4 linked regions of the Canis lupus familiaris genome follow. The protein of the gene in region 2 interacts with the protein of the main gene of each other region in a pairwise test. Links are inferred from orthologs where the notes say so. Each region holds a gene or a part of one and is shown on either strand. Other genes may lie near its edges. The genes, in order: WWP2, ATN1, WWP1 and SIAH1.

Region 1 (4,187 bases), on a different chromosome or scaffold from region 2:
TTACACAATCATATCCCCTTTGATGTACTTAGAAGGGACACACAAGAAACTGATATATTGGGGATCCCTGGGTGGCTCAGTGGTTTAGAGCCTGCCTTTGGCCCAGCGTGTGATCCTGAAGTCCCGAATCAAGTCCCATGTTGGGCTCCCTGCATGGAGCTTGCTTCTCCCTCTGCCTGTGTCTCTGCCTCTTTCTCTTTCTGTGTGTCTCTCATGAATAAATAAATAAAATCTTTAAAAAAAAAAAAAAAAAGAAAAGAAAGAAAGAAAAGAAACTGGTATATTAGTTTCCTCCAAGGACGAGCACTGAGGAGCTGGAGGGAAGGAAACAATCTTAAGGCTGATAAACAGATAAAAGAAATGAGTAACATTTATATTTCAGAAATCATAATTTAAAAAATGATGAGACACAAAGGGTTGCAGAAGGGGAAGCAGGCAGGGGGTTGGGGTGACTGGGTGACGGGGACTGAGGAGAGCACTTGATGGGATGAGCACTGGTTGTTATACTATACGTTGACAAATCAAACTTCAATAAAAACAAATAATTTTTTTTAAAAAAACAACTAAAAATAAAATAAATTAAATTAAATTAAAAAATAATGAGACAATTTTGCCTCCAAATGACCGTGTATCTGAGCTCTGATACTCAGCACTGTTCCCCAAGCATCTCTCAGTTCCATGACTCCACTAAGGAGTCAGTTCCATGACTCCAGAGCTAAGGCCACCAAAGCAACCTGTCATTCAAGGAATATTCACTGACAGCCCACTATGTATCCAGTACTATTCTGTGTCACTGGGTTTTCAAAAGTAATGAAAATAGAGAAAAATTCCTATTTTTGTGTTTACATTCTACTGAAGGAGACAGTCAATAAAGGAAATACATAAAAATATGTACTGTGTTGGGACGCCTGGGTGGCTCAGTCACTAGAGCCTCCAACTCCTGATTTTTGGCTCAGATTGTGCTTTCAGGGTCATGAAGTTGAGCCCCTAGTAGGGCTCTGCATTGGGCTCAGTCTGCTCGTCCCTCTCTCTGCTCCTTCCCCAACTTGTGCAGTTTCTCTCTCTCTCTCTCTCTCTCAAATAATCTTAAAAAATACATATGTGTGCTGTGTTAAATGGTGACAAGCCTAAGAAGACAAATATAAAGTAGTGAAGGGGATAGACATGAGGAAGTGGGGTGTGGGGGAGGCTACAGAGGGATCAGGGAGGCCTGGCTGAAGAGGGTGACTTTTGAGTAAAGACCTAAAGAGAGTAAGGAAGCAAACCAGGTAATCGTCTGGCCCCAAAGCATTCCACTCGAAGGGAACAGCAAGTGCAAAGGCTCAGAGGTGGGAGTGTGCCCAGTATAGTCCCTGAAGAGCAAAGAGGCCATGTGGCTACAGCAGGGTCTAGGTAGAAGAGTAACAGGAAATGAGAAATGGGAGTGATGGGTGGGGTCCCATCATGTGGGACCTTTAGCTTTTATTGGGTGAGATGGAGAGCCAGTTGTCAACATGTTTAAGCCCTTGACATGCCTGCTATGTGACCCACAGAATGAAGTAGGGCAAAGGACAGAAGCAGGGAGACTACTGCCTTCATCAAGGGTAGAGATGAAGGCAGCTCATGGGATGGTGGGGGTGGTGAGAAGAGGTTGAACGACAGTTGCATTCCGAAGACAGACAGACATGGCCAGGTTCACAGCTGGCTGAGCGTAGGATATGATAAAGGAAAACCAGGAGCTTACATGGCTACTAAACATTCAAGTGGAATGACAAGTGGGCTACTAGAGATACAAAATCTGGAAATCTATCAATGGAAAGGCCCAGGCTAGAGACATAATTTTGGCAGTAGTGACCTTATTATTGGTGGCATTTAAAGCCATGAGGTTGGGGGGCACCTGCATGGTGTGGCCAGTTAAGTATCTGACTCTGGATTTCAGCTCAGGTCCTGAGATCAGGTAGCTGGGCTTCTGCTAAGCACGAGCCTGTCAAAGTTTCTCTCTCCCTCTGCCCTTCCCCACTGTGTGTGCTCACTCTCTCAAATAAATAAATAAAGTCATGAGGTTGGATGAGATTAACCTAGGGAATGAGTATCGATAGGAAAGGGTTCTGGGGCATCACAGAATCACCATTTTCAACAATTTTTGCCAAAAGTTCCTTTTATCGTTCTTCTTTAAGAATTCTAGCTATAGGGGATCGCTGGGTGGCTCAGCAGTTTGGCGCCTGCCTTTGGCCCAGGGCGCGATCCTGCAGTCCCGGGATTGAGTCCCGCATCAGGCTCCTGGCATGGAGCCTGTTTCTCCCTCCTGTGTCTCTGCCTCTCTCTCTATCATAAATAAATAAATAAATCTTTAAAAAAAAAAAAAAAAAAGGAATTCTAGCTATAGGGCAGCCCTGGTGGCCCAGCAGTTTAGTGCCACCGTCAGCCCGGGGTGTGATCCTGGAGACCCAGGATCGAGTCCCATGTCAGGCTCCCTTCATGGAGCCTGCTTCTCCCTCTGCCTGTGTCTCTGCCTCTCTCTCTCTCTCTGTGTCTCTCATGAATAAATAAATAAAATATTTTTTAAAAAGGAAGAAAGAAAGAAAAAATAGAATTCTAGTTACAACATGGTCACCCTATGAGAATAAATAGTTCACATTCCTAAGCTGTTTCACAGTGTTTGGCTCTCACACCCAGGTGGGCATACCCCTGCCTTTTCCTCAAAGATTGGGCTGGGCCTCAAATAGTAAACATTTCACATGTTGCCACTCACCTTTCAAAGTCAGCTGAGACTTCTCAAAAGGCAGGGCCACTCCTGGCCGGCTGGAGCTAGCAGATGCCATGTCATCACCAGAAAACTGCAAGATGAGCAACAGTAGGTTTAGAGGATACCTGGAAAGAAATTAAAGAACTGCACCCAACTTTCATATTTGAGTTGAAAGAGATGAACCAAGAAAATATAAACATCCAAGCAACTTCTGTCAGGGTGGAGGCTGTCTGTCTTATAATGACTCCTGAGCCTAGATGGGTCTCTGCTCAACTAGGAAGGGCGCACGATGTCACCATTTACAGGAGAGAGCCTAATATAACACTCTCAAAAAGAAAGTCACAGTTCAACAGTTAAAAAAAAAAAAAATCCAGTTTCATAAATCAACAAAGGATATACACAGAGGGGTGCCTGGGTGGCTCAGTTGAGTAAGCAACAGACTCTAGACTTAGGCTCAGGTCATGATCTCAGGGTTGTGAGATCAAGCCCTGAGTCGGGCTCCACACTGAGTATAGAAACCTGCTTGGGATCCTCTCTCTCTCCCTCTCCCTCTGCCCCCCCCCCCACTATTGTGTGCATACTCTCTCTGTACAATAAATAAAAAGAAATAAATAAGTAAATAATAAATAAAAAGATATACAAATGGCCAATGAGCCTATTCTTGACATCATTAGCCATCAGGCATCCAGGTCACTCGTCTTGGCCAGAAGCCTTGCGTTTTGAATAGATCTTTTACTCATATAACAATTTTGTGACATTATCCTTTGTCATCTGAAAAATATTGGTTCACTGAGCTATGCAGATACTCCAAATGTTGACATTTCATTATACACTATCAAAAAAAAGCACATTTGTGAATGTCACCACTGATCTTCTCAAACAGATCTTTAAGCATTGGGAAACTGTCAAGTTCTTAGTGGCAGATATAAGCGTTCCAAAATTCTTTTTTTTTTTTCCAAAATTCTGATTTTCACTTTAAAAACTCATATTTTATCATTGGCAACAAATACTGTCAGTTGTTTTCCTTCAAGTGACAGGCTCACTTCATTCATCTTGAAGAGTGTCTGCCAAATACCCAAATCTAGTAACTTCAGTTTGTTCGTGTTTTTTTTTTTTAAGCAAAAAGATTATTTCATAAAAAAGCAATTCAGCTCTCAATTCAAAACTCACACAAGTGCTTTTTCTCAAGACAATCATTATTTCAGTATGCAGAAGTGCCTGCCCTAGGCATATTTCCCATTTCATCACAAAGAATATTTAAAAAGACATGTACAAGAGTCAAGGCTTAATAAAATTAATCATTTTCACTGTTTCATCTAGCATTTTCTTAAGTGAAACTGGCTTTTTGTTCTCTTTTTACTGAGTGTGCTGTGGTGAGGAATACAATGACAACAGCTCAGATTTGTGGCACTGCCCTGAATCAAACTATGGCAACAACGGTTTTACTCACCTTTGCTTTTGC
Region 2 (2,450 bases):
CACCTGCATGGATGGCATCCTGCTGGTGGAGGTGCAGGTGGGAGTGGATGTGGGAGTGCTGGTGGTGATGGGGGGTCACATTGAGCATCTGCAGCCGGGCCAGTGGGTCATTGCCCAGAGCTGCCACCCTTTCTGCATGCTGCCTCTCAGCTGCCAAACGCTCGGCGTAGGACATGTCAGGCCGCAGGGCTGGCCCAGCTGCCAGCGCCAGACGTTCTCTCTCCAGGGGCCCCAGACTCGGATGAAAGGGGAAAGGGTGCAGGCCAGGTGGGCCAGGCTGCAGAGCCAGGCCCCCGTGTCGGGGGAAGGGATCCAGGCCTGGCCCAGGGACCCCATGCAGGGGTTCCAGCTCACTGGGCTTCACTTCGAAGCCAGGCTTGAGGCGGTCACGGAGGTCTCGTTCACGGGCTTCCCGCTCCCTCTCCCGGGCTGCTGGGTCACTGCTGTACAAGGCCGGGACATTGTAACCCAGGAGCCCCGGGTCCACTGCCCCTAGGGGCACGTAGAAAGGATGGTTGCGATTGCCAGGAGACATGACGTGGGGCCGGGCGTATTCACTGAGCGTGCGCAGGGCCGGAGTGTCAGGACCCAGGTAGGGGGGCACCGTGGCTACGGCACTGCCCGGCTCAAATGGAGGGCGATGGGGCACCGGGCCGAGAGATGGGCACTCCACTGGCGCCCGGCCCTCCTGAGCCAACTTCTGTGGGACACAGGGAGAAACAGAGTCAAAAGGGCAGGTCTGGGAACCGGGGCTCACTTGTCTCACCAGCTGAAGGCCCTCTGCTGGCCGGCTCAGCCCAGCAGGCGCTGCCCGAAGCCCTCTCCCGGACGTCGGCCCTCCCTACCACCCCCAGGGACTCTGGGCTGAACTGGCCTTCCACCAACGCACGAGCGCCAGGATTCCGCCCGCGGGGATCCTTCCGTCTCCGCTCCCCGGGCCGCCGTGCCTCCTCCTCTCCGACAGGAGGCGCAATGACCACCCCCGCCGCTCCGGCCCTCGACCCTCCCTGCGCGGCGCGGAGGAGGGGCCGGGAGGCGGGCGGCGCGTGCGGTGACGCACTCACCACGCTGCGTTCCAGCTCGCGCTCCTTCTCGCGCTCGCGCTCCTTCTCGCGCTCCCGCTCGCGCTCGCGCTCCTTCTCTTCGCGCGCGCGCTGCTCGGCCTCGCGCCGCACCTTCTCCACCAGGTCGGCCCGCTTCTTGGCCAGCTTGGAGCCCTCCAGCGGCACGAAGTACAGGTCGCTGCGCGCGCACGAGTTAAAGCCGCGGTCCAGGTGCTTGTTGAACCTGCCGGGCGCAAGGGCGGCGCGCGCTTAGGCCCCTGCGAGCGGCGGGAGCGGTCCCGCGCGGACCCTGCCCCGTGCCCGCCTGCGCACACCGCCAGGGGGACGCAGGGCTCCGGAGTCAGTTTTCAAAAGCACCGCAGGAAGGCAGCGTTCCCTCTTGGGCCTCCACCGGTCTCTCCCCATCTTCGTCCCCCATCCAGGCCCAACCGCATCCCGCCCCCCGGCTCACCTGGCCGACTGGCTGGCGTGGCTGGGCACGTCTACCACCTTGGGAGGGGGCGAGGGGCTACGGGCCGGGGGCACTGGGCTCTCGGGGGTCTCATACTCTTCGGCTGGCTCTTGTTTGATCTGCGTGGCATTCAGGGGCGGCCCCGAGGCGGGGGCTGCAGGCGGTGGTGGCAGGGATGACAGGCCTGCAGGCCCGGCAGGTGGCAAGGGGCCCTGCCCCACGGTAGGCGAGCCCGGCTTGAAGGTCCCTGGGCCCGCGGGCGGCGAGGCGCCTCGGTAGCCGGGTGGGGTTCCCGTTCGGAAGGAGGGAGGTGACCCCGGCTTGTACCCCGGTGGGGTGGCGGTCTTGTAGGCCCCTGGGGACGGGGCTCTCTTTCCATACGGCGGGGGCCCAGGTGGGGAAGCTGTTTTGTAGCCTGCTGGCGAGGAAGCCACTGTGGCAATGACCGTGGAAAGCGTAGCCGAGGAGGTGGTGACCGGAGGCACCGGTGGGAAGGGGTAGGGAGCTCCCTGGGGGCCCTGGGAAGGGGAGGGGTGCGAACAAGGGTAGGATCCTTGAGAGGAAGAGGAGGAGGAGGCGTTGGAAGAAGAGGAAGAGGCAGGGGGCCCATTAGGGCCTGCTTGGCTGTAGGACACCTGGCCGTGAGGTGGGGGCAGGTGTGCTGGCCCTGGCGGGTAGGGCCTCAGAGACCCCAGGGAGGGAGACATGGCATAGGGATGGGCATGATGGGAGCTACTGCTCTCCAGGGGGTGGGGATATGCTCCAGGGGGAGGGGGCCCAGAGCTCCCATGATGCTGTTGCTGCTGCTGCTGCTGCTGCTGCTGCTGCTGCTGCTGCTGCGGCTGCTGCTGCGACTGCGGCGGCGGCTGCTGCTGCTGTTGCTGGTGGTGATGGTGGTGTGTTGGGGCTGGTGGGTGGCCTGTGGATTGGCCTCC
Region 3 (3,567 bases), on a different chromosome or scaffold from region 2:
TTCAGTTTAAATTTAATCTCCACTTCCAAAATAACACATTTCCTTATCTTGTACAATGCCTTCAACTCAAGAGATAAACTGGTATGTTCCACAAACTAGTAGAGATGTACCTTACTCTATTAAGCTTTCTGTGATTTACCTTCTAAAATCTCTTTCCCCTCTTTTAGTATTAAACGGTAGTTCTACTTTGGATCAGTGGCAACAGAGGAAGAGTGACACAGAAAGCTTTTAAGTTTAGAAAATACTCCTTCCCCTGTCACGCCCCAAATTACCAGAATCTTGTAAAAGGTGACTTATACTTTTTTAACTGGCAACATCTGATAAGAAGCAAAGAGCTTGTTCTGGGTCCTGCTTATACCACATATTCCATTTCTCAGTAGGAAAGGGACTCAGTCAGCTAAAGCAAAGAATTATTTATACAATACCCATATCCAATTTCCATAGTCCTTAATGCCTTACATTGGATTACTAGCAAACAGGTTTTACTTCTGGATAACAATTAACTACTTCCACCACACATCTGTCAAAACCAAAGCCAAGACTGATGTTTGTGTGACGGCACAGCTCACCAGCAGGACTTTGCCTCATAGGCAGTCATGCACATCAAATAGACCATCATTCTCCCCACACCAGAGGACAAGGCAAAATAAAGTCTTTCGTGACTTGGATGTACAACTTACTACAATAAAGCTCAAACTACAATAAAGCTCAAGAACTTAGAGCAAGCTAAGAATTAACTCCAACCAAAAAAAAGTTTTGATAATAGCTACATTAAGTATCTTGCCCAAATTCCAACAGCTAGTAAAATTAAACTAGGATTTAAACATCTCTGACTTTAGAATGCTGCTATTTTGGCTTGTTTATGTACAAGTCCCTGGGTACATGTATATACAGGGGCTTTCAATTCATCACTGTAATACTTCTGGGAGAGGAATGAGAAGACTTTTATGAAAAATTCTCCACGTCATCAGAAAAAAATTCAATATTTTGATATTTTATCTTTATATATCCTGTAGATGATTCAGGAAAGGCAGACATATTACATTCATTTATTCATTCACCAAATGTTTACTGAATACCTGCTTTATGCAAGACACTATTCTAGGTACTGAGCATAACAGCAGTAAGTGAGGTAGTTTGTGCTCCCATGGAGCTTACCTTCTAGTAAGGGAAACAAATAAAATGGGTCAAGTGGTGCTAAGTGTTATTGAAAGAATAAAGTAGGATAAATGGCTAGAATGGGACTATGAGGGAAGTGAGCAGGGACTGCCATCTTAACTACTGAGCTCAGACAAGGTCTAAGACCATAACCTTTAAACAAACCTACAAGAGGTAAGAATGAACATTAGGGTTACTGAAGAATACTTAAATGGAACAGAGTATCTATACTGATTCAATTTTAATTTGGTAGTATTATCAAGACTTGTTTGAGTTAATAAAATCTCAGAAAATTTAGTGTCAAAATGTATCAACTTGTTCCAGAAGCTGTTTAAGCTTTATTTAAAATGGACATAATGATAAGAGCTATCTCAAAGGGATGTTGTGACAATGAATTAAAGGATAAATATAAGATGCCAGGGCCAAGCACTGGCAATCACTCAATACATGATGGGGTTTATTAGGACTATTATTATAATGGACACTCAGTAACTGGCAGTCATGGTTTAAAATTTTTAAACCCTAACTCCCTTTATATATATAGAATATAACTGAACAAATTGTATTGTTTATTCTGATAAAATCTTCCTTACCTGTTGGAAGGAATCTTCGAACAGTGTCTGCCGGGACACATTGATCTTTACATGACTGGGTAGTGCATTAGACTAAAAACAAAAATAACATCATGATATCATGTAAGCTGTAGTATATATATAGTATAAAGATAAGAGTAAATTATTATGAATATAAGATTTATTTACCACTGTAGTACCTGGCACAAATAACGGAAGTGAGCAAGTTTCCATCTAAAGCTGCGTTCATAAGCAATCTGTGGACCACCTTTAGTTCTAAAAAAAAAAAAAAAGAAACCAAATATTAATTCAAAATAAAATTAGATATGTAATATTAAGTATGAAAATGGAGTATACCAGAGTCCTACAAATGACCACAGGAAAGTTATCTGCTAGGAAAGAAGATACATTTAATGGGCCAAGAGGCTTGAGCAATAAGAACACACATACAGTGAGAAGTATGTACGGATGGGTCTTTTGTAAAGATGTAAAGAAGATTCTGGACACATTCTGAAGTTGAGGTAGGTAGAAATGTATTGTGTCAAATGCTCCTAAATCAAGTGAGACAGAACAGCAACCAACCCCTGGATTAACCATTAGCAATGTGGAGGTCACTGGTGCCCTTAACAAGCTCAGGGTTAGTGGAACTTCCTTGTGGTTTGTTTGAAAGAGAAATTAGAAACAGCAATGTACAGACAATGCTTTCAGGGCAGCAACAGAAATGAGTTTTCACTGAATTAATTTGAAAAATGAAAAGCAGTGTTTTGCTTATTTTTCATCTAGGAGAAATAGCAGCTGATGAGAATCATTCAATAGAGGAAGAGAACCTGATGATGGAGTACAGAAAGATGATAATTGTTGGGGCAATTAAATGGGAAAGGGAGGGAAAGATCTGGAGTGCCAGCAAAGGGATGGGCCTTTGACAGGAACAAAGATAGTTCATCTATAGGATCAAGAGGGAAGACATGCTGGTAGGTGGGCAGGTGTGACAGTAGGAATTTGCAACAAAACAAAACCAAAAACCCCTTTTATTGTTGCTTCTATCTTCTAAGTGATGCAAAGAAATCACACCTAAGAATGAGGATGAAGGTGAATCTAAGATATTTTTAAGATATTTAAGATATTTTAAAGGATATTTTTTTCTGGAAAATTCAGATTTGTTGACTTCTCATTCCTTCACACTACAGTAGCATGATGTGGCAGTTATGAACACAATACTCCGTGAATAGACTGCCTTGGTCTGAAATCAGCTCCATTCCCTTCTGATTTTGAACAAGTTAGTTATGCTCCCTAAACCTCAGTTTCTGCACTGAAAAAGGGAAAATAGTATTATCAACCTCAAAGGGTTGTTGAGAAATAAAATGAGCTAGTTTCTACAAGTGCTTAGAGCAATCCTCTGCATACAGCAATCACTAGATAAATATCTGCTATTGTTATTATTACCACATTATGCACTACAAATTCATTCTGTAGTAACGTAAAGCAAAGATAGGTATACTGGGCTATTACTTATATAGGTTTTCTTGATCCACAAAGTACAAATCTGTTGCTAAACTTGAGGCTACCTCATTAAACAACATTTAAGAATTTCAGGTTTTCACTTACACGGATGATTTTCCATTGCGAGGATCTTTGAATGTTGTTGTTCTTGTATTATGATCAACAAAGTATCTAACACCTTCCCGAGTATACCTAATTTCCCAGCCTTCTGGCAGGGGTTCTTCATTCTGTAAGCTAAAAGACAAAGTTACAATCACAACGTGAACATTTTCTATGCACTAAAGACATCTGAATCAAGGTTTATTTGATTCTACGTATAAATATATGTAAGATGACT
Region 4 (4,129 bases), on a different chromosome or scaffold from region 2:
TCTCACTTGTTTTATAAATAATGTTTACATGCCAGAAATACTTAAGTTTTATGAAAAACATACTGTGAGCAAAAAGAGTAAAGGATTTAAAAAAAAAAAAAAACACAAATTACACGAATTATGCATTTTGAGTATTATAGGAGTTGTGGACCAGATAAAATCTCTTTTATCAAAATGTCCCAAAACACATGTAGAATTCCCTTTCTTAAAAAAATATTAAAAAATCCCTTTGGATGAATTATACAATATGGAATAAATGCTGAAACAGAAACCAGACTGTAAACAACTAAGAAACCCTGTGTTAAGTAGCTTAAGTTCAACCAAAGCTGTTTTCACTGAACTTTCCCCTCTCCCTCGGTGTTCAATTGCCCTGCTCAGTCCATTTCTTTTCCATTCTAAGGCAGCTCGAAACAGTGACAGGGAGTCAGTCACAAGTAATCCAAAGGATCACCCAGGACATCAGCTCTGATTAACTCCGCCTAATGGCAAACAGTTATCTGCTTCAGTTGTAGATTTAGGGATGGAGGGGTCGTCAGGGGAAGGATCTGCTGCCATCCCATCATGCACCTTCATCTATTAAGTCTTCCCCTAGAATCTGAACACCAGCTACGTGTTAATTAATCTTACTTCCTACTGATCAGTAGGCCCCATAATAAAGGTGGGAGAAAGAGAAGAGAAATGGAGGGTAATCTCAAAAGTTTTTAGGTACTCAGAGAAAGTACATCTTTCTACTCTATTTCCATTGCACAATAAAATTACATATAATTTGAAAAGGGGAAGAAAAGAAGTAATTAAAGAATAAAGATTAAAACACCAGAGACACATGCAACATTGGGGACAGTAAACAGGTTAAGAATTCCTTGTATCCTAGGGTTCACTAGTGTTGCTGAAGCATTCATCAGCACAGGAATAAATATTATTTGAGATAAATGTCATCTGGAAGAAACGACAACAATGTAACTAGTTTGTCAGGCTAAATGAAAGATAAAGCAAATAAATACCTTTCCCAGGAATCTACTTTGTTAGGATATGACAGGCCATATTTGTCTCAGGGATAACAAAAGATCAGTCTACTGATGTCCCAAGACTGTATTCCCAACAACTATACAAACCATATTTCTAACAAAACTAAAACTGAATGCCTCAAATTTAATGCTTCCTCAATGTAATCATTATTGCTGCAAAGAACCTGACTTTAAGAAAACAACGCTGGTTACCCATGTGACTATATAAAAGCAACTGGACTTCTAGATTACTCAAGGATAGACACCAAGTGAGGGTTGAAGGTGACAAAAAAAATAGTCCACTGTCAACTAAAGTTAATATTCTACAATTCAAGAGTCTACAAAAGTACAGAATTCCACCATAAGGTGGCTTGTCACATGGACTTAAGGGACAACGGGAATCAATTCTCATCACCTGAAACACTGTACAACCCAGGTGTTTGATTCTTTGTGAGTACGATGATCCATGCATTTTCTACCACTTGGAAACAACGGGCTCAGCCTTGCCAAAATGCCCCACGTATATGCTGTATGCCTGTCTCGTGGTCCATTTTATACTGCTCACTTATGTGAGCAATGTTAGAATTGGAAAGTGGCTCCCTGCACACAAAACAGTCTAAACCACTGATGCCTTTTCAAATTACTAAACCAAACAAGCTAATCACATCAAGGAACAGTAAACTCGGCTTGTATTCAAAATAATAGAACTAGGAAAATATAAGCAAGAAAAATACTATCGTTTCATTTCCAGACCGAGCAAATAACTATACATAATCATCAATCATTCAGGCTTACATTCCAATATTATCTTTATTACTTTTGCAAACATTGTAAAAAAAACAAAAAACAAAAAACAAAAAAACAGTTTAAATCTCTAAAGAGTGAAAACAAGTGAAATGAGGCCGGTATTTCTTGCGAATGGAGGTATTACAGGACAGAAGGTGCTAAAACCTCCCAAAGCACCAAAGGTGGAACCCAGCTCCATCTTCAAACAAAAAGAACCCCAACCACAGAGCAGCCCTGCAGTAGGAACCACGGACTCAAGTGTCTTCAGACAACCCTGCAGGAGTGATGACGTAACCTGAAGCTTGGTTTAAACAGAGAAAAGTACAGTAGATCAAAAGAAACAGCAATGCAAACTAGAGCTCAATTACATTGCAGCCACTCCCTGATCCCGATTCCCCCAGCTCACAACTTTTCCCGGTTCATACTTTAAGCATCCCAGTCTCTTGGTGTCAATACCTTTTCTCTTCCTTGTCCCAGCTGCTGGCAGACATGTGAGCAAGACGCCCCTCCAGGAGTACGGAAAAGGTAAGGGAGACTTCCCGGTCATGAGAAGTCAGGCGGCTCATAGCCCTTCCCCCAGGAGCAAACACGATTTGTAACAGAGGCCCTGCTGGATGGACACGTTCTGCTCCTAAGCACGTCGGAGTTCAAGTCTTCAAGCAGCGAAGGTAAGCGCCCTGCTCTAGGATCCCCCATTCACTCCTCCGAAGCACCGGCTGCCGCAGCAGCAGAGGAACGAAGCCTCTCCCGTCCCCTCAGGAGTCCACCACACCTCCCCGCGAGCTCCAATTCGCCTGCGTTTCCAAAAATGGGCGCCATCACCGGAGCTGTCCTCCGCTGGGCCCTCAACCGCCTGCCCTGGAAGTTTGTCTTCCCCACATTCACTAGCCCGCCAGCGTGGGTGAAGGATGGGGCTGCAGGGTGCGCGGGGGCTGGTCAGGCGCACCCCGGAGCCAGCTCGGAGCTGCCGCAGGGTCCGGCCCGCCGGAGAGCCACGCGGGGCCCAGGGCTGGGCCTGGCGGTGCTGGGGGAGCCTGCTCCAGCCCGCAGCGCCCGCCGGCCTCCGCTCGCAGCGCCCAGCCCAGCCCAGCCCAGCCCAGCCGCAGCGAGCGCGGGGCGGGGCCGGCGGGGCCTGCGGGGCCGGACAGGGCGGGGCGGGGCGGGGCCGGCGCGGTGGTCACGCCCGCAAGCCCCGCCCCCCAGCCCAGGGCCGCTGGGGCGCTGCCCCGCACAACCCAGACCCTGCCCTCGACCCCAGGCAACACTGCAACCTCACCCATTTCCACAAGCTTACATTTAGTTCGAAACATGTCTTTCTGTAGAAAACAGATGCTGCCAATTCTGTATGATTTCAACCTAAGACCTACATAGAGTATATGAGAATTACGTGGCCAGAAAAGTGCTCTTCTCCTGGTTAACCATGTGTGAACTGTGCTCATAGAGTAAAAGCACTCTCCCCACTTCGTTCACTATATACTGGGCGTCAACGACCCGATTTCCTCAATTCTAACTCACTCCTCCACTTCTATCCCTGGTGACATCATACTTGAAACTCCTTCTCTTCCTTCGAATAGATTGCAGTGAGAGTAGTAAACACCCGTAACTCTATTAAACTCCTTCAACCTCCAAACTGAGATTATATTCTCTTCCCAGTCTGGGAAAACCATCTTAAATGGCCTCATTAAACAGAGAAGCTTGTGTTTTTAAAGAAGCATTACACGGGCCCCAATAAAGTCCTGGGCCTCAGATTTGCCCTGCGTCAGGTGGTACACTCAGGGGTTTAACCTGTCATTATATCATGCTTATAGGGCAGCCTTTAAACGCACAGCAGGAGCTCATGGTGGGAATGAACCCTGTGCAGTAAATTGTAGATTACCCATTTTCCAAATCAAATTTTAGTTCCAATCACTTCCAGACCCTATTGTATTCAGTCATTTCAACCTCACGTTAATATTAGGCTACATGAAACATCATTGGGAATAGAAATATGGATGAAGTTAGATAAAGTCTGCTCACTGACAAATATAAATTATTATTACCTACATTTTCATTTCCTAATACATTCACCCTAGAGCGGTCTCAGGCTGATAGGGCAGACGACTTCAAATGTTTTAGGCATCCCTGCCTTTCCAGAGTTAAAACTGAACCTAAATGTATAAAACAAGTCAAAGAGAAGGAATGATGGGGGGGAGGGGGGATCACTTTTCCCAAACTTCCGAAAGAGGTTACAGAGCCCTACAGAGTCTCTGAAAACCATTAACCTACAGACAAACCTCTCAACAAGTGAGTCAGGACAATAAAAGTGGCATCATTCTGGAGTCTCCTACACACAGCTGGAT

Evidence for each region.
Region 1: the proteins of ATN1 (region 2) and WWP2 interact in a two-hybrid assay, tested with the Homo sapiens proteins (2 studies listed by BioGRID and IntAct). The link is inferred for Canis lupus familiaris from reciprocal best matches to the Homo sapiens genes ATN1 and WWP2.
Region 3: the proteins of ATN1 (region 2) and WWP1 interact in a two-hybrid assay, tested with the Homo sapiens proteins (2 studies listed by BioGRID and IntAct). The link is inferred for Canis lupus familiaris from reciprocal best matches to the Homo sapiens genes ATN1 and WWP1.
Region 4: the proteins of ATN1 (region 2) and SIAH1 interact in a two-hybrid assay, tested with the Homo sapiens proteins (2 studies listed by BioGRID and IntAct). The link is inferred for Canis lupus familiaris from reciprocal best matches to the Homo sapiens genes ATN1 and SIAH1.

Annotation. Positions count from the first base shown.
Region 1 is NC_049226.1:80,504,297-80,508,483, forward strand, and holds the start of WWP2 (NEDD4-like E3 ubiquitin-protein ligase WWP2), read right to left. Parts: upstream 2,805-4,187; 5' UTR 2,802-2,804; coding exon 2,732-2,801; intron 1-2,731. UniProt on the Homo sapiens protein: E3 ubiquitin-protein ligase which accepts ubiquitin from an E2 ubiquitin-conjugating enzyme in the form of a thioester and then directly transfers the ubiquitin to targeted substrates.
Region 2 is NC_049248.1:7,986,479-7,988,928, reverse strand, and holds part of ATN1 (atrophin-1), read right to left. Parts: coding exon 1,516-2,450; intron 1,288-1,515; coding exon 1,065-1,287; intron 701-1,064; coding exon 4-700; intron 1-3. UniProt on the Homo sapiens protein: Transcriptional corepressor. Recruits NR2E1 to repress transcription. Promotes vascular smooth cell (VSMC) migration and orientation. Corepressor of MTG8 transcriptional repression.
Region 3 is NC_049250.1:33,230,983-33,234,549, reverse strand, and holds part of WWP1 (NEDD4-like E3 ubiquitin-protein ligase WWP1), read right to left. Parts: intron 3,465-3,567; coding exon 3,336-3,464; intron 2,007-3,335; coding exon 1,931-2,006; intron 1,824-1,930; coding exon 1,752-1,823; intron 1-1,751. UniProt on the Homo sapiens protein: E3 ubiquitin-protein ligase which accepts ubiquitin from an E2 ubiquitin-conjugating enzyme in the form of a thioester and then directly transfers the ubiquitin to targeted substrates.
Region 4 is NC_049223.1:65,986,544-65,990,672, reverse strand, and holds the start of SIAH1 (E3 ubiquitin-protein ligase SIAH1), read right to left. Parts: upstream 2,835-4,129; 5' UTR 2,338-2,834; coding exon 2,247-2,337; intron 1-2,246. UniProt on the Homo sapiens protein: E3 ubiquitin-protein ligase that mediates ubiquitination and subsequent proteasomal degradation of target proteins.